3 linked regions of the Lonchura striata genome follow. The protein of the gene in region 3 interacts with the protein of the main gene of each other region in a biochemical or structural test. Links are inferred from orthologs where the notes say so. Each region holds a gene or a part of one and is shown on either strand. Other genes may lie near its edges.

Region 1 (7,774 bases), on a different chromosome or scaffold from region 3:
CCGCTGCAGCACCGAGCCCTTGAAGTTGGTATCGTCCGCCTTGAGATCGTCGCTGGAGCTGGCCGTGCTCAGGTGGCCCGAGTCCAAGATGACGCTGCCCCGGTTGCTGTCAGAGTCAATATCTGTGAGGTGCAGCTCAGAGCCACTGGCCACTTTAATGGGGATGGGGTTGGAGATCTCCAGGCGGGTCTTGGAGTCCCGCTTGGAGGCACGGTTGAGGTTGAAGAAGCCCCGGCGCATGCTCATCTCCTCCAGGCTCTTGAGTTCAGCTGCTGACATTCGCTCCTTTTTCTCCTTCTTCTTCTCCTTCCGGGCCCCATCCTTCTCTTTGTCCTTCTTCATCAGGTTGAACATGGTGGATGGGGGCTCGGGGCACTCTTGCCCTCACGGCAGGGCACTGGGCTGGGGCGCCGGTCACAGCACAGCCGCCTGTGCAGAAGGACAGACAGGAAGGGTGCCATCAGAGAGCAGCATGCCCAACACCCACCCGCCACCCCTCCATCCACTGGTCACCCCAGCTGCCACCCCCAGCCCCTGAGCTGAGTATGTTCCAGCATTCCCACTCTCCCTGGGGACTGCAGCATCACAGGGCTCAGACTGCCCCAGTCCATGTGTCCTCGCCCTGGCTGGGCATCAAGCCCCAGGGATGCAACAAGGATGGCCCTGTACCCCCAGGGTTGCCCCAAAAGAAGCCCAGAAGCCTGGCAGTGCCTGGCAGTAGAGCTGACTGCAGGCAAGACCCTCAGCACCTCAAGAGCTCTTTTGGAGCAGCTTGGGTGGGCAGGGAAGAAAATATCCTGGTGGCTTTTGCAGCAGTTTCTGCTGGCAGGGACACTCCCCAGGGTAAAACCCCCATCCAATCCAACCACCAACGTCCTGCCTGCTGTTCAAAAGCCCCTTGTTGAGGAAACAGAGGCCTTTCTGCTGCTCATCCCAGCTCTGGCCACCGCAAACCACAGGGGCTGCCGTGGGCAGTGTCCCCACCAGGGAGGAGCCGGAAACACGGCCTGGAGCGAAGGTTGCTCTAATAAACAGGAACCTGTAAAATCACATCCCTCCCAACACTGATAAGTGTCTAATTTTAGCCAGGGCGACGCAGAGGCTCGTGACGCTGCCGGCGACCTCCAGGAACAGTGGCTCTTTCATTTGGGCATCCTGCGCAGAGCGGGGGGGAGCACCCAGTGCCAGTGGGAAAACCATGGCTGGGCAGAAAACACAGCTCCCTCCTGGAAAACCCCATGTGCACCCAGTGCTTGGGGACACCCCGTGCCTGGGGGCACCCACAGCCTCACCCTGCATGGGGTGTTACAGCACTCCTCTGTCCCTGGGGTAACAGGCAGCCCCCCCCAGCCTCCATCGAACGCTTGGGCTGTGGATAAACAACTCCAAAGTGGAGCAGGCGGCTGGCAGCACCCGCAGGACGGGCTGACAGCTATATATAACAGGGCAGGAAACTGCACAGGAACTTAACCTCAGCACAAAGGACAACAGGAAAGCTCCCCACGTTTGAAGCATCTGCTTTAGAGCTCTCCGACGGGTGTGGGGATGAGGTTTGGGCAGCCACAGGGATGAGCAGCGCTGCCCACGGTGGCAGTGCAGGCTCTGCCCGGGTTGCATGGATGTGCTGTTCTGTGCCAAGCTGCACCTTGGCTCCAGCACAGCATCAGTACTGCATCACCATCACTGCCTGGACCATCTCCTTGCAAGGGCACATGGTCTCCACTGTCCTTGAACACACCCAGTGGGACAAGGGAAACCCATTTTCCCCTTGACAAAGCCACACGGGGATGGCAGGGAACTCCCTGCCCCTCGGGGCTGGGACAGAAGCACATGTGCCCGAGAGAGGCCTGGCCACAGGGCAGGTGAGGACAGAGCCCTGCAAGCCATGGCACAGTGTTGGGTGTGTGATACCTCTGAGGCAGTGAGGGGAAGCAGCCTGAGGGACAAGGTCAGGCTTGCAGCTGCAAGGCTCCTGGCCATGGCCAGAAGGGCTGCCACAGTTGTGCCACACCACCCAGCCCCAGGGCTCTGGCTGCTCTGCCCTCCCTGCAGCAACTGGGGCTTGACTCAGACCCACAGCAGGACCTGGGAAGGGCAGAGCCCCAAAACATGAAAACAACCCGTTTCCTTTCTCCTCTCCCAGAACTGCTGGCAGTGGGGTGATCCCTGACCCGAACCAGGGGACAGGACAGCTCCTTCTCAAGACCCACATCAGGTGCTGCCACAAAGGGCACCATGGCTGTGCCATGCTGGGGGCTGCTCCCCTGTGCCAGGGCCTCAGCACAGACAATGGCAAGGAGGAAACAACCTGCACCTGCTCCTGTCCCCCCGCATGACACGTGCCACCACTCCCATAGCTGCTTGGGCATCCTTGAAGCTGTACAAAAGGGCTGCACCCCTGGGAGCACCCAGTGCTCACCCCACGGCAGGGAGGGGGCTGCTGGGATCCTTCTGGGGGTCCCTTGGAGCAGAGGCCCTCGCCAGGCAGGTGCTGGTTAGAGCCACGGCGCCAGGAGACAGGCGGCCAGCACGCTCTTTGTCCTCGGTGGTTTCTCTCCCAGCACACAGGCTGCCTCCCAGCCTTTGTACGCTCAACAAAAAGGGGGAACAGCGTTCCCAGCCGCATCGCTAATCAGGCAGCGCTGGCGGCCACTGCCGCAGCCACGTGTGCCCCACGCAGGGCCACAATGGGCAGCAGTGGGGCAGGGAGACTTGTGTGGGCTGGGGAAAGGACCGCAGCATCCGCCCTGCACCCATGTCCCCAGCCCGTGTGGAATGCCGTTGTGGTTTGCTCCCTTTTCCCCAAGAAGCCTCCCGCCACGGATGGGTGCAGCCCGATGCCGTGAGCAGGAGGTGGCTGCCGAGCGTCTCCTCGCTCTGATTCAGACCCAACTCGCCTTCCCTGACTCAGCCCGGGCTTGCTCCGGGACTCCCCTTGGCCAGGCGTGTTTGGGGCAGCGGCGTGCATGAGCCGTGACAGGGAAGGGAGAGGCACCCGCCGGCGCCGGCTGCGCTCCGGGATCGCACGCGAGGATGCTGCTGTGCCACTGGGCTGGCAAAAGACGAGGACGTCACCTTGGAAGGGCCAGATGGCAGAAATGGAGACACATCTCAACGCTCCCCGAGCCAAAAGTCCCCTCTGAGCCGCCCAAGCAGGAGCTGGATGCACCTTCCCCCATGTCCCCCCAAACAGCCGTGAGCCCCTGTGTCCCTGCCAGGGCGCCGGGGTGTTCCAGGCAGGGAGGAAGGCGTTCACTGAAACTCCCAGCCACTCCTTCCCTCCTCGAGACGCAATCTCGTCCGACACGCTCCCGCGCAGGGACCTGCACGGCAAGTTTCACGGTCGCCTGACCTCCCCGCTCTGCTCCCTGATGCTGGCAGCAGTAGAGCTGTGCTCCCACACCACTTTGGCTGTCCCCTCCTTGGGCACACCATGCTGGGGTACCTCATGCCCTGGCTATGCCCAGCCAGGAAGGGATGATGCCATGCCAGGGAGCGGGAGCTGCTGGCAGCGATTCCGAGCAGCCAGGCCAGCTCCTACGCAGGGCAAATGGGAGCTGACCTGCATGATGGCTCCTTACTGGACACAAGTTTTCCACAGAACAAGGAAATTTAGGGGGTTTCCAAATCTCTCTGCCTTCCCTTATGGACAACGCTGCAATGTGTCAAGAGGAAAACAATCCCGGATCTACCCGAGTCACAGCCAGGATGTGCCACCAGCTCTCCCCAGAGCAGGACTTCAGGCCCTCCTGCTGCAGGAACCCATGTCCAACAGCAAAGGGGACCCACACTGGTTACGAGGGGTCACCCCAGGCCAAGAGGGTGCATGGGGCGCAAGCACCTACCTTGCCCCAAAGCTGGGCAATGACACAGCTCAAGAGGTCTTACAGGGTAGACCCAGAGGTAGTGGGGCAGGATCTTGGCAGGGCTGCCAGGTGAGATATGGTTCCATAACCAGCTGGAGGGGTCAGGTGGGTTGCAGCCGCCTCAGCACAGCTGCCTCATCACCCTTATCTGGCCCCAAATTCACAGCCTGGCTCCCTGCGTGGCCCAGCCCACGGCAAAGGTGAAGGGCCGAGCCACAGCTCGTCAGTGAGCAAAGTCCAGGGCTGATGCAGGTGCTGTGGGAACACCCAGCTCTGGATGGCAGCTGAGATGGGACAGTGGGCAGTGGTCCCCCAGTGCCAGAGTGCCAGGGCCAGCCTTGGGGTGTAGGAATACACTGCCATGTGCCCACACTTTCCTGTAATTGCCCTAAGTTTAGCTCTGGCAATCGCTGACCAGACAATTTGCATTTCACAGGCCGGCTGGAAACCACACGATTTAGGGACGCGCGTCCCAGCCCTCGCCCGATGCTCCGTATATTCCTCTCCGGGAAAATTAACAGGCACTGGGGTGGGCACAGCCTTGAGAGCCGCCACCACCCCCAGCACAGCAGCTTGCCGAGTGCCACCCACCCCTGTCACTCTAAAAAGGTGGCTCAGGTGCCAGCGGCACCGGGGGATGCGGTTAGCGGCGAGCCGGGCTAATGGCTTGGGATGCAATTCCCCGGCGGTGTGGGAAAGGCCCAGGCCAGCGGCTTCTCCTGGAAGCGGGGCTGGCCCTGGGGACTCCTGCAGCGGGTGCTGGGCTACCCAGCGCGGAGCACCTGGCGCGGGGCCACCGCACGCAGAAGCACACCCTGCACAAGGTGACACACGCACACACACGCACGCAAACGCGAGTGACACCGGGGGCTGCACGGGCGCTGCCAGACAAGAGCGGGCCATGCGCACACCCACGCCCGCAACCGGGGGGCGGCACCGAGGGCTCCGCACCCACCCCGCCACCCACCTCCAGTTGTGCAACCGCGGGGGCACGGCGCAGCTCGGCCCGGCCCGGCCCGGCCCGCCGGGGGGGCGATGCCGCCGCGGCCCGCCCCGCGCCGGGCGGTGGTGCCGGTGCGGGCGGCCGGGGCCGGTCCCGGTGGCGTGGCGGCGGGTACTCACCCGGGGCGGCGGCGGAGCGGGGCCCGGTGGCGGCGGCGGCGGTGCCGGGCCCCGGCGGCGGCGCGGGGCGGGGCGGGGCGGGGCGGCCCCGCACCGGGGCGGGCACTGCCGGCTCTGCGCGCGCCGCCCGCCGCGCCGGGCGCGGCTCCGCTCGCCGCGGGGAGAAGCGGAGCGGAGAGGCGGTGCTGCCCACCCGGGAGCCCCGCTGAACCCCCTAGCCCGGCTGTAGCCACCGCACGGACCGGCGCCCGCAGCCCGGCGCGCAGCCGGTATCGCCGCAACCGCCCGCGCACACCGGGGGTGGCCCCGCAGCCCCCCGCAGACGCACAGACGGTGTGTGCGCTCCCCCGGTGTGACTCGGTGACACTCCGTCCATCCCGCACTCCCCGCACTCACACCCCCCGCCCCCCGATACACTCACATGTTGTGAGCTCGCCCTGGTGCTCACGCAGCCCCATCGCACAATGCACACACGCACTCCTGGGGTTCTCCTGTTCGGAAGAATCCCATCAGGAACAGCGCTGGATCCAGGCAGGGAAGGCTCCAGGCTGCCGGCTGGAGCAGGGTGATGGGTGCCTGCTGGCCCCAGTGCACGGAATACAAAGCTGGCCATGGCAGAGCTGGCTGTGGAGCCATTCTGCAGCTTCTCCCGCAGCACCTGTCCCCAGCGAGGGCTGTCACACTGACTGTGAGGACAGTGGCTGCTCTGCCCAGGAGACAGCCCAGGGTTAACAATGAGCATCTCCCAGCACAGCCAGCAGCGAGGGCAGCACAGTCTTTGTTACACCCCTTCCACTGGTGTCCAGCTTTGGGACGTCACGCCGTGGTTGGTCACGTACAGTGAGAATCCTGGGACAGATGATTTCAGGATAAGCTCTGCCATATGAGTGCTGGGACAACCTCCCTTCCTATGGGGTGTGGGAGCAACTGGGCCCAGGGAAGCTGGAGTGGAGCTTTGGGAACAGGGAACCCCGAGAGAGGTATCCACAAGCACTTTCCAAAAGCAATTTTCAGGCAGTGCTCAATCTCTGTTTGGGAAGCTCAGGGAGATTACAGGGACAGTCCCCTGCCCAAGGGGACTCTCTCCAAACCCCTGCTGCAATCCTACCGTTGCTGGCTGAGTTGTATGGTCCTGGCTCTCCTACCATCAGGCTGTGAGCCACTCTTGGGACACGCCTGTCTGGGTCTCACAAGCCCCACTCGCTCACAGAGGTAAAGCTGGCTGTGATTTCCAGCCCACAGCCCATGCCCAGGACACGGTCCCACAGCAGCAGCAGAGCAGGACACATGGGGCAGGGCAGAGCAAGCTGGCAGCTCAGCAAGGAGCACTGTGCTGGGCCCCGGCCCGAGGGATGCAGTGGTGGAGGAGATGCAGCCCTTGCAGGGGCGGAGGAAGGCGGCAGTGAGCACAGCCGCCTGCTTTTGTCACACTGTCCTTTGTCCCAGGCACGTGGCACCAAGTGCAGGGAGCCGCAGCCATGCGGAGAGCAGGGATGGGGTCGAGTGATCTGGAAGGGCAGCAGAGCCCGCCTGAGCTTTCAGGAGGGTTTTCCAGCTGCGGTGGCGAGGGGACACGCTGTGTGGCTGTACGTCTGCCCTGCTGCCCGTCACAGGCGGGTGAACAGCCACGTACAGCCTGTGGCAGCTCCTGCTTCCTTATCACGCTGGGCAGGTGGTGATGGGCTGATGCCGGTTGGAACTGCCGAGCTGTGGGACAGCACAGGGTCCCCAGAGCCACACAGCCCTGCCACCAGCAGCCACCCACTGGGGCCACTCTCCTGCCGCATCCCCAGAGCTAAACACCCTGTGTTTTCCAGCAAACTGACCAGCTGTTCCTGTCCACATGATCCCATCTGACTTTGTCAGAAACAGGTTGGGTCGCCCTGAGCAGCTCTCCCTGGCAGAGAGTTCCCCAGGCACCAGCAAATCCCACATCCAAGGAAATTCTCTGTGTTGCCCAGGGTTTTCTATGGAGAAGCAGGACAGAGCTCTGGTGCCAGTGGTATTTTGTGTACCCCTGGCAGGCGCACATGGCTGGCCAGGACAAGGGCCTGGAGCCGGGCTGGGAGGGGAAGCATCTGTTTTGCAGCACCGCGGGGTTCCCTAAATAGGTCACTGCATTTTTATAGTCTCTTGGATCTAGAAAAACCAGTTGTTCTGGACAACCTGTGGACCCGCCAGCATCACTGGCTCCCCAGGCACTTGCTGCTGTGCTCCCAGGTCCTTGGTGGGGACACCTGCCCCACCAGCAGGGTGAGGGGTTGGGGGGTCTGCAACAGCTTGGGCCATACTGGGGTCCTGTTGTCTGCATCCCCAGCCGTGAGCAGAGTTGGGCTGTGCAGGGGGGGCTTTCCCCCCACCTTGCCACTGTTTTGGGGTGGCTGCCAGCTCCAGGCTTTGCTCTGGGGTGTTTTTCAGCCAGAGACGGCTTTCCTGTTGCAAGGGGAGGCAGGTGTCTGTGCGGGGCGCAGAGGGGTGTGCAGTGCCACACACCCACCGTACAGCCGCTGGTGACCCATCCTGCTCGGGCTGAGCTCTCCCTCTAGTGGCACCAGGCTCCGGGCAAAGCCTCCACACAGCCGTGACCAGGGCATGTCCGAGGGGCTGGAGTGAGCTCCAAGCTGACCTCTCCCCTCGCCAGGATGCCCCCGGCAGGTGCACAGGGACTGTGCTGGGTAGGCTTCGCAGGAGCATCCCACCACCAACCCCCCACTTTGGCATCCTTGCAGAGGACAGGAGGTTCCGCCCTTCCCCTTCCCTGACCCAAATTTGCTGGGATGTGCTGG
Region 2 (7,795 bases), on a different chromosome or scaffold from region 3:
CGTGGGGTGGGACAGGGGGATGGGGTGGGGTGGGACAGGGGGTACAGGGGGGACGGGGCCCTACCTCGTCAGGATCCAGTACGGAGGTCTCGTAGATCAGCCCTTTCATGCCCCTCATGCCGCCGTACACCTGGAGGGAGCCGGGAGGTTGCAGTGAGGGGCGGTGGCAGGGCCCGGTGGCCCCGGTTTGGCCCCGGTGTGGCCCCGGTGACCCCGGTTTGGCCACACACTCACCATGTCCACCGTGATCTGCCCGATGGTCGTGCTGCCGTGCTGCTGCCGGAAGCTCTTGATCTTCGCCTGCTCCTTGGGGATCATGGTGGCCAAGACGTCTTTGAGGTTCTGGGGACAGGGGACAGGGCTGTGAGACCGGGGCTGAGCACAGGACGGGGGGGACAGGAGAGGAGGGACAAGGAAAAGGTGTGACAGCTGAGAGGGGACTCCCCGTGGAGAGGGGTGACAGGAAAGAGGGTGACAACAGAGACAGGGACAGGAAACGGGGACAGGAGAAGGGGTGATAGAACAGGGGCTGAAAGGGGGGGACAGGAGAGAGGGTGATGAGGGAGGGTGCTCCCCTTGAAGAGGGGTGACAGGAGAGGGGGTGACAGGAGAGGGGGTGACAGGAAAGGGGGTGACAGGAGAGGGAACTCCCATTAGAGCAGAGTGACAGGATGGGCTGACAGGAGAGGGGTTCATGGCAAAGAGGGTGACAAGAGAGACTGGGACAGGAAAGAGGATGACAAGTGACGGGCATCCCCTTGGAGAGGGTCTCAGGAGAGGCAGGAGAACGGGTGACAGCACCGGGTGACAGCACCGGGTGACAGCACCGGGTGACAGCACCGGGCTCACGGGACAGGACCCCCCTGTCCCCTTACCGTGGCGGCGCTGGCGTGGCGAGCGGCCAGGAGGACACACGGAGCGTTCTGCGGGACAAGGGACACAGAGACCCCCCTGTCACCGGGGCAGCCACACGAGGCTGAGACCCGGCTCCCAGGGACGCCGGAGCCGCTTCACTCGCCCACGCGGGCGCGGCTCGGAGCCGGGAACGGCGGGGCCGGGGCCGGGCCGGGATCAGCGGGACCGGGAACGGCGGGACCGGGAGCGGCCGGGATCAGCGGGACCGGGATCAGCGGGACCGGGAGCAGCGGGACCGGGAGCAGCGGGACCGGGAGCGGCCGGGATCAGCGGGACCGGGAGCAGCGGGACCGGGAGCAGCGGGACCGGGAGCGGCCGGGATCAGCCCCGTGCTGCCCTCGCAGCCGGGGCCGGAGCTGGCACGGGGAACGCGGCCGCGTTCTCCTTCCTGGAGCCGCGCCCGGCGGTTTTCCTGAGCCGGGGAATCCGAACTTTGTTCCTCGCCCACGCGTGGGAACCGGGAACCGCGGGGACTCCGGCCCGGCGGGGACACCCCGGGAACACAGCCCAGGCCTGGCACGGGGCACACCGGGGCACACCGGGGGACAGCGGGGCACACCGGGGCACACCGGGGCACACCGGGGGACACCGGGGGACACCGGGGGACAGCGGGGCACACCGGGGGACACCGGGGCACACCGGGGGACACCGGGGCACACCGGGGCTGCCATCCCCAGGGACGCCCGGAGCTCCCGGGGCCGCAGCTGCGGCAGCGCCTGCGGCAGAGCCGGAACATGACTCGGTTTTTCCGCCGGCCGCCGGGAGGACGCGGCGGGGCCGCGCTGCAGAGAAGCCCCCCGGTGTCCCCCGGTGTCCCCCGGCCCGGGCGGGGGTCCCCGGTGTGCCGGGTGTGGCCGCGGCGGGTGGCGAGGCCGCGTTCCCCCGCAACAGGCGGCTCCGGGAACGGGAAACGGAACAATGGAGGCGGCAGCGAGAAGCCCAAGGTCAAGGCGGCCGCTGCCGCCCCGCCACCCCCACCGTGCCAGCCCCGGTGTCGCCCCCGGTGTCGCCCCGTTCTGGGGGTCCCCACGGCTCGTCCCGCTGCCACCGAGGTGCCGCTGGCTCAAGGTCACACGTGTTGGCGGTGACACCGGGCACCGGCCGGGGGGGGAGCGCGGGGCCACACCGGGACCGTCCCGGGGCTCCCGTTGCGCTCGGGGGTGCGGGGAGGAGGAGGAGGAGGAGGAGGAAGGCCGGGATCACGGCTCAAGCCAGGGGGGCGGCTCCGGTCCGCCCGTTTTGAGGGGAGAGCAGGGCCAAGTGGGGCATGGCGAATATCCCAAAATATCGCCCGGTCGATAAAGACACCGCAACGCCCGTTACGAAACGCCGGGGCCGCGGCCAAGCCAAACAGAACGGAGGGGTCGGGGCCGCTCCGGCCCGGTACCGGCGCTCGGCTAGCACGGGGGTCCTCCCGCTGTGACCCCGGTGTCCTCTACGGCACCGGGACGCTGGGGAAGGGCGGCGGCGGAGGGGACGGTCCCCGCCTCCACCCCCCCCACTGCCGGTGCCACCGGGCGCGGGGTCCCGGGGGTCGTCCCGGACCCCCCAAGCCCAGCGCTGCACAGCGAGGAACCGGAACCGCCAGCGGGGCTGCCCCGGGGCGGGGACCCCCGCACGGGGCTGAGGCACCAGCGGAGCTCCCCGGGCACGAACCGGAGCCCCCCCGAGCCACTCCCGGTTACCCCCGGCTCCGGGAAGGCTGCGGCGGGAGCGCCGGGCGCCGGCTGCCGCCACGTGCTGCGGCCGCGGCCCCGCGCCCACCCCGGTCCCGATGCCGGTGCCGGTCCCGGTCGCGATGCCGGTCCCCCCGGTCCCATCCCCCCCTCCGCCGCGCGGCCCCTTTAAGGCAGCGCCCCCCGCGTCGCCCCTTTAAGAGCCGGACCCCCCCCGCTCTCCCTTCCCCCCGCGGCGTCGCCCCTTTAAGGCGCGGCGAGGCCGGGCCGGGCGCGCTCACCTTGGGCCCGCGGAGGCGCGCGGCCGCCCGGCTGCCGGCGGCGAGGAGCGTCATGGCGGTACCGGGGCGGGACAGGCCGGGACTGAACGGGGCCGGGGCCGGGACCGGGAGCGGGGCCGGGACCGGGAGCGGGGCCGGGGCGGGAGCGGGGCCGGAGCGGCGGCGGCCGGGGGTCCTCAACGTGAGGGCGGGGCGGAGCGCGGCGCTGTTCATTAGCATAACCCCGCCCCCTCCCGGGGCAGAGCCGTTTGCTATTGGCCAAGCGGCGCGCCGCGGGGCGGGGCCACGCTAATGAAGTGGCGGGGGGCGCAGGCTATAGGTGGCCGCCGCATTCGCCTGATCAGGGCCAGGGGTGGGGTGAGGGGGTGCCCGCCCCGTCTCGTGACGTCACCGGCCGCGGCGCGTGACGTCACGGCCCGGTGTCCCGGTGGGGTTCGGCAGCGGGGGTGGGGGCAGCCCCGTGACGTCACAGACGCGCAGCCGGGCGGTATGAGGTCACAGGAGCCCGTGACGTCATCCCGCATGTGGCCACCGTGGCTTGGGGCGATTGGATGTGGCTTGAGGGGCGGTGGTGACGTCAGAGTCCCCGCTGAGCCCGGAGCAACGGGCGACACGATGGGGTGACATGGGGCGACACAGGGTGACACCATAGGGTGACACCATGGGGTGACATGGGGCGACACCATGGGGTGACACAGGGTGACAGAGGGCGACACCATGGGGCGACACCATGGGGTGACACAGGGTGACAGAGGGTGACACCATGGGGTGACACCATGGGGCGACACAGGGTGACACAATAGGGTGACACCATGGGGTGACATGGGGCAACACCATGGGGTGACACAGGGTGACAGAGGGCGACACCATGGGGCAACACCATGGGGTGACACAGGGTGACAGAGGGTGACACCATGGGGCAACATGGGGTGACACCATGGGGTGACACAGGGTGACAGAGGGTGACACCATGGGGTGACATGGGGCGACACCATGGGGTGACACGGGGTGACAGAGGGTCACACCATGGGGCGACACCATGGGGTGACACAGGGTGACAGAGGGTGACACCATGGGGTGACACCATGGGGTGACACAGGGTGACACCATAGGGTGACACCATGGGGTGACACGGGGTGGTGACACAATAGGGTGACATGGGGCAACATGGGGTGACAGGGGCTGACATGATGGAGTGACACAATGGGGCAACACGATGGGGTGACACGATGGGGTGACATGGAATGACATGATGGGGTGACACGGGGTGACATAGGGTGACAAGACCGAGTGAGATGGAGTGACACAACCGAGCGACACGGAGTGACACAACTGAGCGACACGCGGCGGCGGCGGTGCCGAAGAGGGGCAGAGCCCTGCGGCTGCTCCTGTCCCCGGGCCAGGTGACGACATGAGGTGACACGGGCCATGGCAGAGAGGCCAGAACCCTCCCAGCGCCCTTTGCGCACGGGCGGGGTGGGGTGACACCGGGTGACACCGGGTGACACCCCGGAGGGCCGGCACCCCACGGCGGGTGACACGGGGGTGACGTGGGGCCAAACCCCCGTGGTGGCCCTGCAGCGGGGGACTTGGGGTGACACGGAGTGACACAGAGCCACGGGCTGAGCCCCGCGGGGGTGAGCGCTGCCCCCGAGCCAGCGGGGACGCGTGGGGACATGTGGGGACGCGTGGGGACACACGGGGACGTGTGGGGACACGTGGGGACACACGGGGACACGTGGGGACGCTGCTGTCCCCCACCCCACCCCACCCACGGGAGCACGGCTGCCTCGGGTGGGCCCATGGCCCCTTTATTGCCTGCAAAGGGAGGGGGGCTCCCAAACCCCCACCCCGCGGGGGCTGAGCCCGGTGCGTCCCCCGCGTCCCCCGGCACCGGGCAGGAATGTCCCTGAAATGTCCCGGTGGCCCCGTGGCCGTCCCGGTGGCCCCCACGGGGAATAAACAGGATGGGAGCTCTGAACGGGGCGAGGCAGCAGCTCCGGAGCCATGGAGATCCCGGTAGATCCGTCTGTCCCGGGGCCGTCCTGGTGGGTCCCAGTGGGTCCCAGGACCGTCCCGGCGGGTCCCGGTGGGTCCCGGAGGGTCCCGGGGCCATCCTGACAGGTCCTGGTGGGTCCCAGTGGGTCCTGGTGGGTCCCAGCAGGTCCCGGTGGGTCCCAGCGGGTCCCGGTGGGTCCCAGCGGGTCCCGGTGGGTCCCGGTGGGTCCCGGTGCCCGCTCCGGAGCAGTCACAGCTCATCGTGCGGGATGTGGAGCGCGTGGTCACACAGGTCTGCGGGGACAAACGAGGGGGGACAATCGGGGTGTGCTGGAGCCCCGGGGGACCCCCAGGATGCACCAAACCCCCAGGAGACCCCCAGGATGTGCTGGAACCCCACGGGACCCCCAGAAAATCCCCAGGATGTGCTGGAGCCCCACGGGACCCCCAGGAGACCCCCAGGACAAGGCAGCCCTGGTGGAACCCCCAGGATGTGTTGGACCCCCATGGGACCCCCATGACACAGCAGCCCCGTGGGACCCTCAGTGCTGGAGCCCTGTGGGACCCTCTGGGTGCACCAGACCCCCACGAGACCCCCAGGATATGACAACCCTGTGAGACCCTCGGGTCACATCAGAGCCCCGTGGGACCCCCAGGATGTGCTGGAGCTCCATGGGACCCCCAGGACACGTCCCAGCCCCGTGGGACACCCAGGACACATCCCAGCCCCGTGGGACCCCCAGTGCTGGAGCCCTGTGGGACCCCCAGGACACGTCCCAGCCCCGTGGGACCCCCAGGACACGTCCCAGCCCCGTGGGACACCCAGGACACATCCCAGCCCCGTGGGACCCCCAGTGCTGGAGCCCTGTGGGACCCCCAGGACACATCACAGCCCCATGGGACCCCCAGGACACGTCCCAGCCCCGTGGGACCCCCCCTGCTGCCCTGTCCCCTCCCAGGACCGCTCCCCGCTGTGCCCTGAGCCGGGCCAGCGGCATTTCCCCGCCTCTGTCCTGTGGTTAATGACAAATGCGGCTGCTTGGACACAGCCACAGCCTGGCCTGTCCCTGCTCCAGCCCCCACGCCACAGGAGGAGCCCCGGGAGCAGCTGTGGAGACCCTCAGGATCCCCCTGGGGCACAGCACCGCCCTGACAGCCGTGCCAGGTACGCAGGGACCTGCCCCATCCAGCACTGCGGGGCCCCAAAGGTCACCCCGTGCCCTGAGCTGGGTGTTTGTGAGCTGGAAATAGCCCCAGAGTGGGACAGGGCCATTGGATGTGCCAGGAGAGGCCACAGAGTCAGCACAGCAGCTGCCCTGGCTCGGCCCCAGCATCCCGAAACAACCCCGGTGCCAGCAGGCTCCGGGCTCTGCGATGGGGTGCTGGGATTTGGGGAAGAACTTGCAGCTCCTCCCTGCTCTGGGCTGGAGAAAATCCCATCCCAGCACTGACAGAGCAGCCACGACCCCTGGAACAGCAGGAGAGACCTCCAGGAACAGCAGGAGAGACACCCTTGGGACAGACCCTGCCCTGGGCTGGCAGAAAATCCCATCCCAGCACCAACAGAGCAGCCACAAACCCTGGAACAGCAGCAAAGACCCCCAGGAACAGCAGGAGAGACCCCCAAGAACAGCCCCAGCTCTGGTCTGGCATCTTCTCCCATCCCAGCAGTGACGGATCAGGAGAGACCCCCAGAAGAGCAGGAGAGACCCCCTGGAACAGCCCCAGCTCTGGGCTGGCAGCATATCCCATCCCAGCACCAGTGGAGCAGGAGAGACCCCCAGAAGAGCAGGAGAGACCCCCAGGGACAGCAGGAGAGACCCTCGGGAACAGCCTCTGCTCTGGGCTGGTATCTCCTGCCATCCCAGCACTGATGGAGCAGGAGAGACCCCAAGAACAGCAGGAGAGACCCTCAGAAGCAGCTCCTGCTGTGGGCTGGCATCTCAGCTCAGCTCAGCTCATTTCACCTCAGCTCGGCTCATTTCATCTCACTTCACTTCAGTTCATCTCAGCCCAGCACCAGCGGCGCAGCCCCGGCCCTGGGAGCAGCAGCAGAGCCCCCCAGGCCCCCCATCTCACCCGTCCTCTTGCTGCACAGCCGGTCCTTGACGTTCTCAGCCTCGTGCGACAGGAACTCGATCAGCTCGTCCTCGTACTCCTCAGCGATGCTCTCGCACTGCAACGGCCACACGGCGACACACGGTGACACACGGTGACACACGGCGACACACGGCGACACACGGCGACGCCGCCGGCCCACGGCCTCCCCCCTGTCCCCTCACACACCGCGAATTTCAGGCTGGAGGTGACGTCCCCGTCGAATTTGACCCCGGCAAGGTCCATCTTGGTGCCGTCGTGGGAGATGACGCGGACGTAGCTCTTGCGCTGCGTGGCCGGGTCCGCCCTCTCCCCGTACTCCTTCATCTTCTCGCACACGCGCTCCAGCAGCTCCGTCAGGTGCGCCTCGGAGCGAGCGTACGGCACCTGCGGCCCCGGCGGGGCTGAGCGCGGGCCCCGGGAGCGGCGCCGGGAGCCGGGACGCCGGGACAGGCCTCACCTCCACCACCGACTGGCTGCCGTCGGGGTTGATGCGGAACGAGCCCATCTGGATGGTTTTTCGGGGATCCACCTGGGCGATCTCCCACTCCAGCTCGTCCACCAGCGCCCGGCAGGCTGGGAGGGGACACGGTGACATGGGGCACCTGGCATGGTGCTCCACACGGTGACATGGGGCACCTGGCACGGTGCTCCTGTGGCTGCCCACGGCCAGACTGGTGTGACTGGGGCACGCTGGGATGGTGTGCGGGAGGAGTCCCCACGGCCTGAGACCCTCAGCCTGTCCCTCTGGACATTGGGGGTCCAGCTGGTCCCAGTGGATATCCCCAAGCCCTGTGCCACCACCCTGGACTGTCCCTCTGTCCTGCC
Region 3 (7,482 bases):
GTCCTCTTCAAGGAGAGCAGGACACTGCCTGGGCTGCAGGTGCCTGTGGGTACACCGAGTTTACAGGGGGAGGTTCTGTGCCCACCCTGAAACAGAAACTTTAAGGGATTTAGAGATTTTAGAGGAGCTAAGATTTTAGTTAGAGATAAGCCTCACTAGAGTTAATTAAAATAAATGAGTAGGCCTCGATGAAGTTAAGAGTTAGTAGTTAACTAATAACTGATTGCTCGTCAGCACAATGTTGAGTTAGCTGGGTTTATAATGAAGAATATAAACTGATAAATTGCTTTTAGGAACATCAGACAATTGTGGGCCTCCTCTGCTCTGAAACCAACTGAAGACAAGGAATGGGAGTTCTACCAAAAGTTCATTTGTCATGTTGGCATTGAAAAGGTAGAAAGGTCAGAAGGAGGAAGACTTCATTGACTTCCTCATTTTGGGACCCCTCCCCATGGAAGGGACACCGACCCATTCCAAGAAACAAATTATGCATGCTTAATAACTTTTTGAAATGATTAGCATAGGAAGCGAGGAATGGGATGTACCAAAATGATGAATATGTATTTATATTTTAAATATTCAATACTTGTATGGATAAAAGGGCTCTGTAATCACTTGTAAGGCACAATGTGGATTTGGGAGCGATCCCACACACAATAAACACTCACTCTCTAACTTTAAACTGTTAGAGAGTTTTTGTCCATCACAGTTGGATATCGGTACTAGATCAACCCCTGTGCCAGCCAGAGGCTGCCCTGAGCTCTGTGCTGGCATTCCCGAGGTGCTGTCCACAACCACACCTGCCCCGGAGACCTCAAAGCCTGACCCCACTGCTTGCTTATCTTAGCCCAAAAAGGATGCCAGGAAGGTGCCAGGATCACAGACCCCAGTGCTACAGGGAGCACTGCACTCCCTGGTGGCACGCTGTGCTCCTAGGGGTGCCAATTCCAGGGACACAGCTGCTCTGGGGACTGGAAAATGCTGGTACATCCAGCTCTGGGCACGGCTTTGCGTTTCTGCCTGCCCAGTGTCCACACAGGTCTCCAGAGCCAGCAGGGAGAGGGATGGATGGCAGCAGAACACAACTTTGAAGGATTAGAAACTGCTAGCTGGGCCTGGGGAAGGTAACACACAGGGCAATGCACGGATTCATTACGTGGCTTGATTGATAGAGTTAATTTTTAGCTCGTTGGACGCCTCCCTGCATTCCTGGCCTCTTCCCAGAAAGAGGGGAAGCCCAAAAATGCCCATTTCACAGATGATTTTCCAGTTCAGTTCACAGCTCATGCAACATCAGCAATAAACCTCCACCCTCTTGCTGCCCTGTCTGGGATCAGCTGGGGGGAATTGCATGGAGCACCTTGACTAAAAAAATGACAAATATTTGAGGTGAGCAGGGGATTGTTTGGCAGTCACCAGAGGGGAGGGAGTTCACAGTGACTCCCTCGGTGGTGAAGGTAAAGCAGGGGGTACCTGGCGCTCCTCGTGCTTCCCGTGGATCTCGATCATGTCCCCGAGCACCTTCACCTTCAGCTCCTCAGGGGAGAAATGCTTCACATCCAGGTTCACATAAAATTTGTCCTTATCCAGTCGCATCTGCAAAAAAGTGGGAGGTGACTTCAGAGAAGAGCAAAAACCAGGAGGTGACTTCAGGGAAGATCAGGTGAGGGTTTCAGCTTAAAAAGGAATGCAGTAGGTCAAGACTCACGCTGGTCTCTACACACACACACACATACACACACACACTGACCCTTATTTTGGGATCTGATCTGAGTGGCTCTGTCCCTTGCTGGCCTTGTGTTAATGCCCATCACTTCAGGACCTGAGATTCTCCACCAGAATTGGTTAAAACTGCCTCTTTATTTAAAGCTGACTCTTTATTTTGGCTGCTTCACTAGGCAGCCAGACCGAGGTCACTAAATCAAGAAAGACATTATGCAAGGATTAAAATAATACTTTCACTCCTTCTGCTTGGAATAGCTCCTCAAGCTCCTTGCAAATAAGACAGTTGACTTGCAGGACAGGCAAAAGCCTCTTGGCTCAGCCCCTGGAGGGAGTAGGCGCCTGCTCCATGATCCTCTGGGTCCTGGATTTTATTAAAAAGCTGCTTTCCTGGGCAGGGATTGTCTGAAATAGGCCCCTTTTCCCTCAGCAGCCATTGGCGTGAGGATCCCACTGCCCCCGTGCTCTTTGCTTCTCATGTGGGAGTGGGATTGAAAGTTTGGTGCAGCGGGTTGGGAAATTAGGGAAATTAGAGAAATTAGGGAAATTAGGGAAATTAGGCTTCCTCCTTTGCTCTGCCAGCTCCTAGGGTGATCTGCCACGCACACTGAGCTCTGTTCCCATCGCTATGGCCAGACTTGCTCCATCCCAAGCAATGCAGAGGTGCAAACACAGCACCTTTTCCCCCAGCCTTTCTCCTAAAAAAAAAAAAACAACACCTAGGAGCATCTTCCAAGCTCTCAGCTCTCCTGGGCCTCCAGAGCCAGCAGGCTGTGCCCCCAGCAGCCACAAAGAAGCAAAGATTACCTCCGAGAGTCCTGTCTCTAGCCAACTGGGCATCCGAAGGATGGGGGATCTCATCAGGAAGGGGCTGAAGCTGGGGGAAACAGGGAGCAGCTCCGACTCGGGCAGGTGCTCCCCGAAAATCTGGTCAAAGATACGGCTCGGTGCCAACCAGGAGAAGAAAGGTCTGCGGATCAGGGGGTTGTGGATGGTGATATCCATTGGAGAGCGCTGGAGGAGCCTGGCCAACAACTGTGCTGCAGTGCCGTGCCGGGAGCGGGGACAGCTTTATACCCCGCAGCTGGCCTGGCCTTCCACCCCCCCGAGGCCTCTTGAACAGTGGTGTCAGGGATTTTATTGTCCCACTCCTGGGCTGGGCCCTTCGGCGGTGCCCAGTAGCTGTCTGAGGGATTTGTGCACGCTGCCGAGGAGGAGGAGGAGGAGGGGGAAGGGGAGAGGAAGAAGAGGAGCCCAATGGGGCAGCAAGAAGCCGCAGTGGCCCGGCGCCCGCCCCGCTGCCCACGTGCTGTTTGTCCACAGTCCCGGGCGGGTTTGGCCCGTGTTCCAGCTGCCCTGCATGCCAGCGGGATCAATGCAGCTCCTATCTTTGGCTCACAGGGACGGCGACAAGGGGCCCTTGTTCCCGGGACTCGGCTCCAGCATCACCCGCCGGGTCCCGGCGGCAAAGGGAGCCCCGAAATCGGGGCTAGGGAGGTGCCAGGAGGGCTCTGCTGGGATCCTGGCACTGCAGGGTGCAGCCCTGCCGCCCTCGTGGTGTGTGGGAATAAAGGATGGGTCTCCCCACCAGCACCTCTTGTCTTTTGGCCGCTGCGGAGCGCGTTGTTCTGGAGGGAAGAGCCCCACGCTGTGACCCCAGAGAGAAGCTGGGCATGGTCACGGCCTCCAGGGCACTGTACTGCACCCAGGGGTGCCGAGCACCTCTGTCTGCCTCTGCCTAACCTGCTTTCCTGCAGCTCTGCTCCTAAATCCGTGCATTTGCTTTAATTCCTGCCTCGCCCGTGAGCCCAAATCACAGGAATGGGTTCAGCCTGGCTTCTGCTGAAGGGCAAGAGCTTCTCTGCCCGTGAGAGCTCACAATTTAAACCCAGTTTCTGGCTCAGAGGCACTGCCAGCTCTGCCAACCCTTTGCAAAAGGCTCTGAGCCTCTTCCTCTCGGCTTGCCTGCAAGAATAGAGGGCAGGATTTGCTCTGTGCAGCAGCCCAGGCCATAAATACCCTCTCCGAGTCCCCGTCACATCAGCAGCACTGCACCTGCTCTCCCACCCTGCAGGGCTCAGGGAATCTCTGGTTTCAGGGCGTGCAGAACCCAGCTGGGCACTCCTGCCCTGCTGCAGCACCAGCAGCCCACCAGCCCTGCTCAGCAAAACTGGATTTGGGCCAGGTTCGGAGCCTGGGTGAGCTGGGGATGGCTGGCAGCAGCATTTCTCCGTGGCCTGGCCAAGGGAAGAGGCTGGGCAGCCAGCAGGGCTCAGCATGGGGAGGTGACAGCAGTGGCACCTGGATCCCTGCTCCACTCCCTGCAGCCCTAAAGGAGCAGAAGAGTTGAGCTCAGCTGGGCAAAGCAGGGTTCTTACGTGGGGAACAGGAGGGGTTTGAGCTGAACAAGCCCCAGCCACCCACGGGGGCTCAGGGCCACCGATTCCAGTGCCAGGGGCTCCCTGAGCCACCCCAAGGAGCCTCTCGGTGGCCACAGCCTGGGGTCTGTCCTGCTCCCTCAGCCCTGAGTGCTGGGCTGGGCTGCCCATGCACCCTTGCTCCAGAAGGGACCCCCAGAGGGTCCCCGAGGTGTCCCTGAAATGTCCCTGAGGTGTCCCTGAGGTGTTCCTGAAATGTCCCTGAGGTGTCCTTGAAGTGTCCCCGAGGTGTCCCCAAGGTGTACCCAAGGTGTCCCCGAGGTGTCCCCTGCCCTCCCTGCTGGAATGCAGTGAGAATCTTCCCTCGCCGCCCTGGCCCGGCGTCCTGGGGCCTGCACGGGGCTATTTTGGGCCATCTTTTTTATCACTGCCTCCTCCCTTTGGAATCCTCCCAGCTGGAGCCTGGCAGCCTGCAGCCTTCACTCGGAGAGGCAGCGAGGGCTGGGGAGGAAGGAAGGGAGGCAGGAAGGCAAGAAGGAAGGAAAGAAGGAAAGAGGAAGGAAGGCAAGAAGGAAGGAAAGAAGGAAGGAAAGAAGAAAAGAAGGAAGGAAAGAAGGAAAGCAAGAAGGAAGGTGCCCATCCTGCACACGCCATGGCTGCCCGCACGGTGCCCCACGCCTACCCCATGAGCTCTGAGTACGAGTTTGCCAACCCCAGCAAGATCTACGACCAGAACTTTGGAGAAGGTAAGGAAGTTGGTGGGATCCCCCCCTCTTTGCACCTTTCTCCCCTCTGCTGCTGGAGGGCTGCTGGAATTCCCACTGGGGAGCTTGAGCTCCAGAGGGGGAAGCTGGAGCTGCGGAATTTTGAGTGGAGGAACCCAGAGCAAATCAGAGGGGAACAGCCAGGGAATAAGCAGGGAATATCTAGGGAATAACCAGGGAATAGACAGGGAATAGCCAGGGAGAAACCAAGGAATAGCCAGGGAAAAACTAGGGAATAAGCAAGGAATAGCCAGGGATTAACCAGGGAATAGCCAGGGAATAGACAGGGAATAACCAAGGAATTGCCAGGGAATAGCCAGGGAAAAAGCAAGGAACAACCAGGGAAAAAGCAAGGAATAACCAGGGAATAAGCAAGGAATAACCAGGGAATAGCCAGGGAATAGCCAGGGAACAGCCAGGATCTCTCTCTTCATGTCCACTTCCCCATCCATGCCCACTGCTGCCCGTCCCGTCCCTCCCTCATGCCAGCCACGCTCTGGCATTCGTGCACATGCTGTGCAAACATGGAGCCAAAGCTCAGGGCAGGGGGGGAAGCTTTTCCAGCCGGGGGGATGTGGAGAAAAGCTGAGCTGGGGCGTTCAGCACAAAGCTGGGCATGGCTGGCCCAGGGGAAGGAATGTGGGCAGCAGCAGAACCATTCAGCACCAGCACAACAGCGTGAAAAGGCAAAAAGCTCCAAGGAAAGCCCTGTGGACAATGGCACACAAAAGGCCTTTAGCCCTTCAGGGCGGTTTCTTCACCATCAGCAGTTTCCATGCCCACCCCTGGCTGCGGGCTCTGCTCTGCAGAGCTCCCAGGGCACCCGCCAGGTTCTCCCCATGCAGCCCAACATGTCAAGCTGGATGCCAGCCCCGGGCTCGCCGGCACTCTGGGCAGCTCGGTGGCACGCAGCAGCTGGCAGGGACGTGGCTCTGGGTGGGTTTTAGGGGCACAAAGGTGGGAACTGCAGCAGACTCCACCCCTGCTGCGGGGATGTGGCCGAGCCAAGGTGTTCTCCAGGTCCCAAACTGCTGCTGCAGCCCCATTCCCTGGAACTCCTCACTGAGTCTCCTGTGCAGGTGTGTCCCCATCGGAGATTTTAGCCCCTGCTCTGTACCACGGCTACTACATCCGGCCCCGGATCAACAAGCAGCTGGAGAGGGGCACCTCGGAGATCTGCCTGAACGAGCACAAGTTCCAGGTGTTCCTGGACGTGTGCCAGTTCCTGCCCGACGAGCTCAGCGTGCGCACCGTGGACAACCTGCTGGAGGTGGTGGGGCAGCACCCGCAGAAGGCCGACCGCCACGGCTTCGTCTCCAGGGAGTTCACCAGGACCTACATCCTGCCCCTGGACGTGGATCCCCTGCTGGTCAGGGCCACCCTGTCCCACGATGGCATCCTGAGCATCGTGGCTCCCCGGACGGGCAAGGAGGTGAAGGCGAGAATCAACGAGGTGAAGATAACCCAGCAGGAGCGGCCAGTGGGGGAAGAAGAGCAGGCTGAGGGAGGAAAAGAGAAGGAAACATCCTAAAGGCCGCAGATCTGGGAAGGTGGGGGGGACAGGGATGGGGAATCCGCAGTGCCAGACCCCTGGGCCCTGAGGCAGCCACGCTCCTGCTGCCCGAGGCTGATGCTGGGAACAAAAGGGGCTTGGAACTGGAAAGAAGAGTGGGGCTGAAGTGTGAGTGTGAGTGACTGTAATGCAAGTTTTCTCCTAGGCCAGGTGACCATGAAGGGAGCTCTGCTCTCACCCCAGGGTCATTCCTACCCTTAACTGTGAGGCTGTGTCTCAGTGGACTGTGCTCTGGCCCAGAAGGGTATTGGGAAGAGAGAAAAGGGGATCCCAGTGCCTGGTTTCTGAGCTGGAGGCTGAGATTCCTGGCTGTGCAAGGTGGGTGTTGGTCTGTAAAAGCGCCTGCAGCAATCAGGAGGAGAGAGGAATAAACCTGCCTCTGCTCTGCTCCTGTTTGCCTTGGATTGGTGTTGCTCCTGTGCAGCAGGGAGGATGGACAGTGCCCAGCTGGGGCTGAGCTCACCGTGGGGACATGGAGGGACTGTGGCCACCTCTGGGCCTCACCCCCTGGCCCAGCTGCTGGTTTAGGGAGCCCAGAGAAAAGTGACCTCAAGGACAAAAAGGTGAGGAGTGATCAGCCTTTGCAAGGTCCCTGAGCATCCCCAGAGCTGCAGCTGGAAGGAGCCTGAGTGAATGAGGCACAAATTAATGCCCAGCCACAGCCTGTGCCTGCTCAGCCCTTCAGGTATGGGACATCCTTCACACACAGAACTTCGTGAGGGGACTGAACCCAAAATACTGAAGGGAGAGGCTCTGCTCAGACCCCAGCTGTTACAGTGAGCTCATGGCACTCTGTGCCCCCTTCCCTGGGACCCTGTGGCTCTAATCTGATAACCCTGGACCCTCCTTCCTGCCCCAAGGGAGAGCCAGGGAAGCCCACCCTGTCCAAAGTCTGTACAGACCCCTGACATTTCCTGTTCGTCCTCTTTTGCTCCACTCTCCACATGGACATCACAGAATAAAGAGAGCTGAACCAACGTATTTCGGGGTAAGAGCCTCTTCTGGAAATCTTTGCCATCTCCTGACATTCCTCCCCTCACAGCCT

Evidence for each region.
Region 1: the proteins of CRYAB (region 3) and CRYBA1 form a complex in vitro, tested with the Homo sapiens proteins (2 studies listed by BioGRID and IntAct, with this or other methods). The link is inferred for Lonchura striata from reciprocal best matches to the Homo sapiens genes CRYAB and CRYBA1.
Region 2: the proteins of CRYAB (region 3) and CS form a complex in vitro, tested with the Homo sapiens proteins (3 studies listed by BioGRID). The link is inferred for Lonchura striata from reciprocal best matches to the Homo sapiens genes CRYAB and CS.

What each region holds. Positions count from the first base shown.
Region 1 is NC_134622.1:7,632,470-7,640,243, forward strand, and holds the start of CRYBA1 (beta-crystallin A3), read left to right. Parts: upstream 1-4,767; coding exon 4,768-4,980; intron 4,981-4,988; exon of another isoform or gene 4,989-5,038; intron 5,039-5,206; coding exon 5,207-5,257; intron 5,258-7,774. Other genes in the region: MYO18A (unconventional myosin-XVIIIa), read right to left, coding at 1-354. UniProt on the Homo sapiens protein: Crystallins are the dominant structural components of the vertebrate eye lens.
Region 2 is NC_134629.1:5,565,509-5,573,303, forward strand, and holds the start of CS (citrate synthase, mitochondrial), read right to left. Parts: upstream 3,008-7,795; 5' UTR 2,927-3,007; coding exon 2,873-2,926; intron 924-2,872; coding exon 876-923; intron 343-875; coding exon 235-342; intron 131-234; coding exon 65-130; intron 1-64. Other genes in the region: CNPY2 (protein canopy homolog 2), read right to left, coding at 6,879-7,046, 7,157-7,354, 7,428-7,543. UniProt on the Homo sapiens protein: Key enzyme of the Krebs tricarboxylic acid cycle which catalyzes the synthesis of citrate from acetyl coenzyme A and oxaloacetate.
Region 3 is NC_134625.1:9,470,251-9,477,732, forward strand, and holds the start of CRYAB (alpha-crystallin B chain), read right to left. Parts: upstream 3,003-7,482; 5' UTR 2,728-3,002; coding exon 2,530-2,727; intron 1,597-2,529; coding exon 1,474-1,596; intron 1-1,473. Other genes in the region: HSPB2 (heat shock protein beta-2), read left to right, coding at 4,753-4,846, 5,944-6,395. UniProt on the Homo sapiens protein: May contribute to the transparency and refractive index of the lens. Has chaperone-like activity, preventing aggregation of various proteins under a wide range of stress conditions.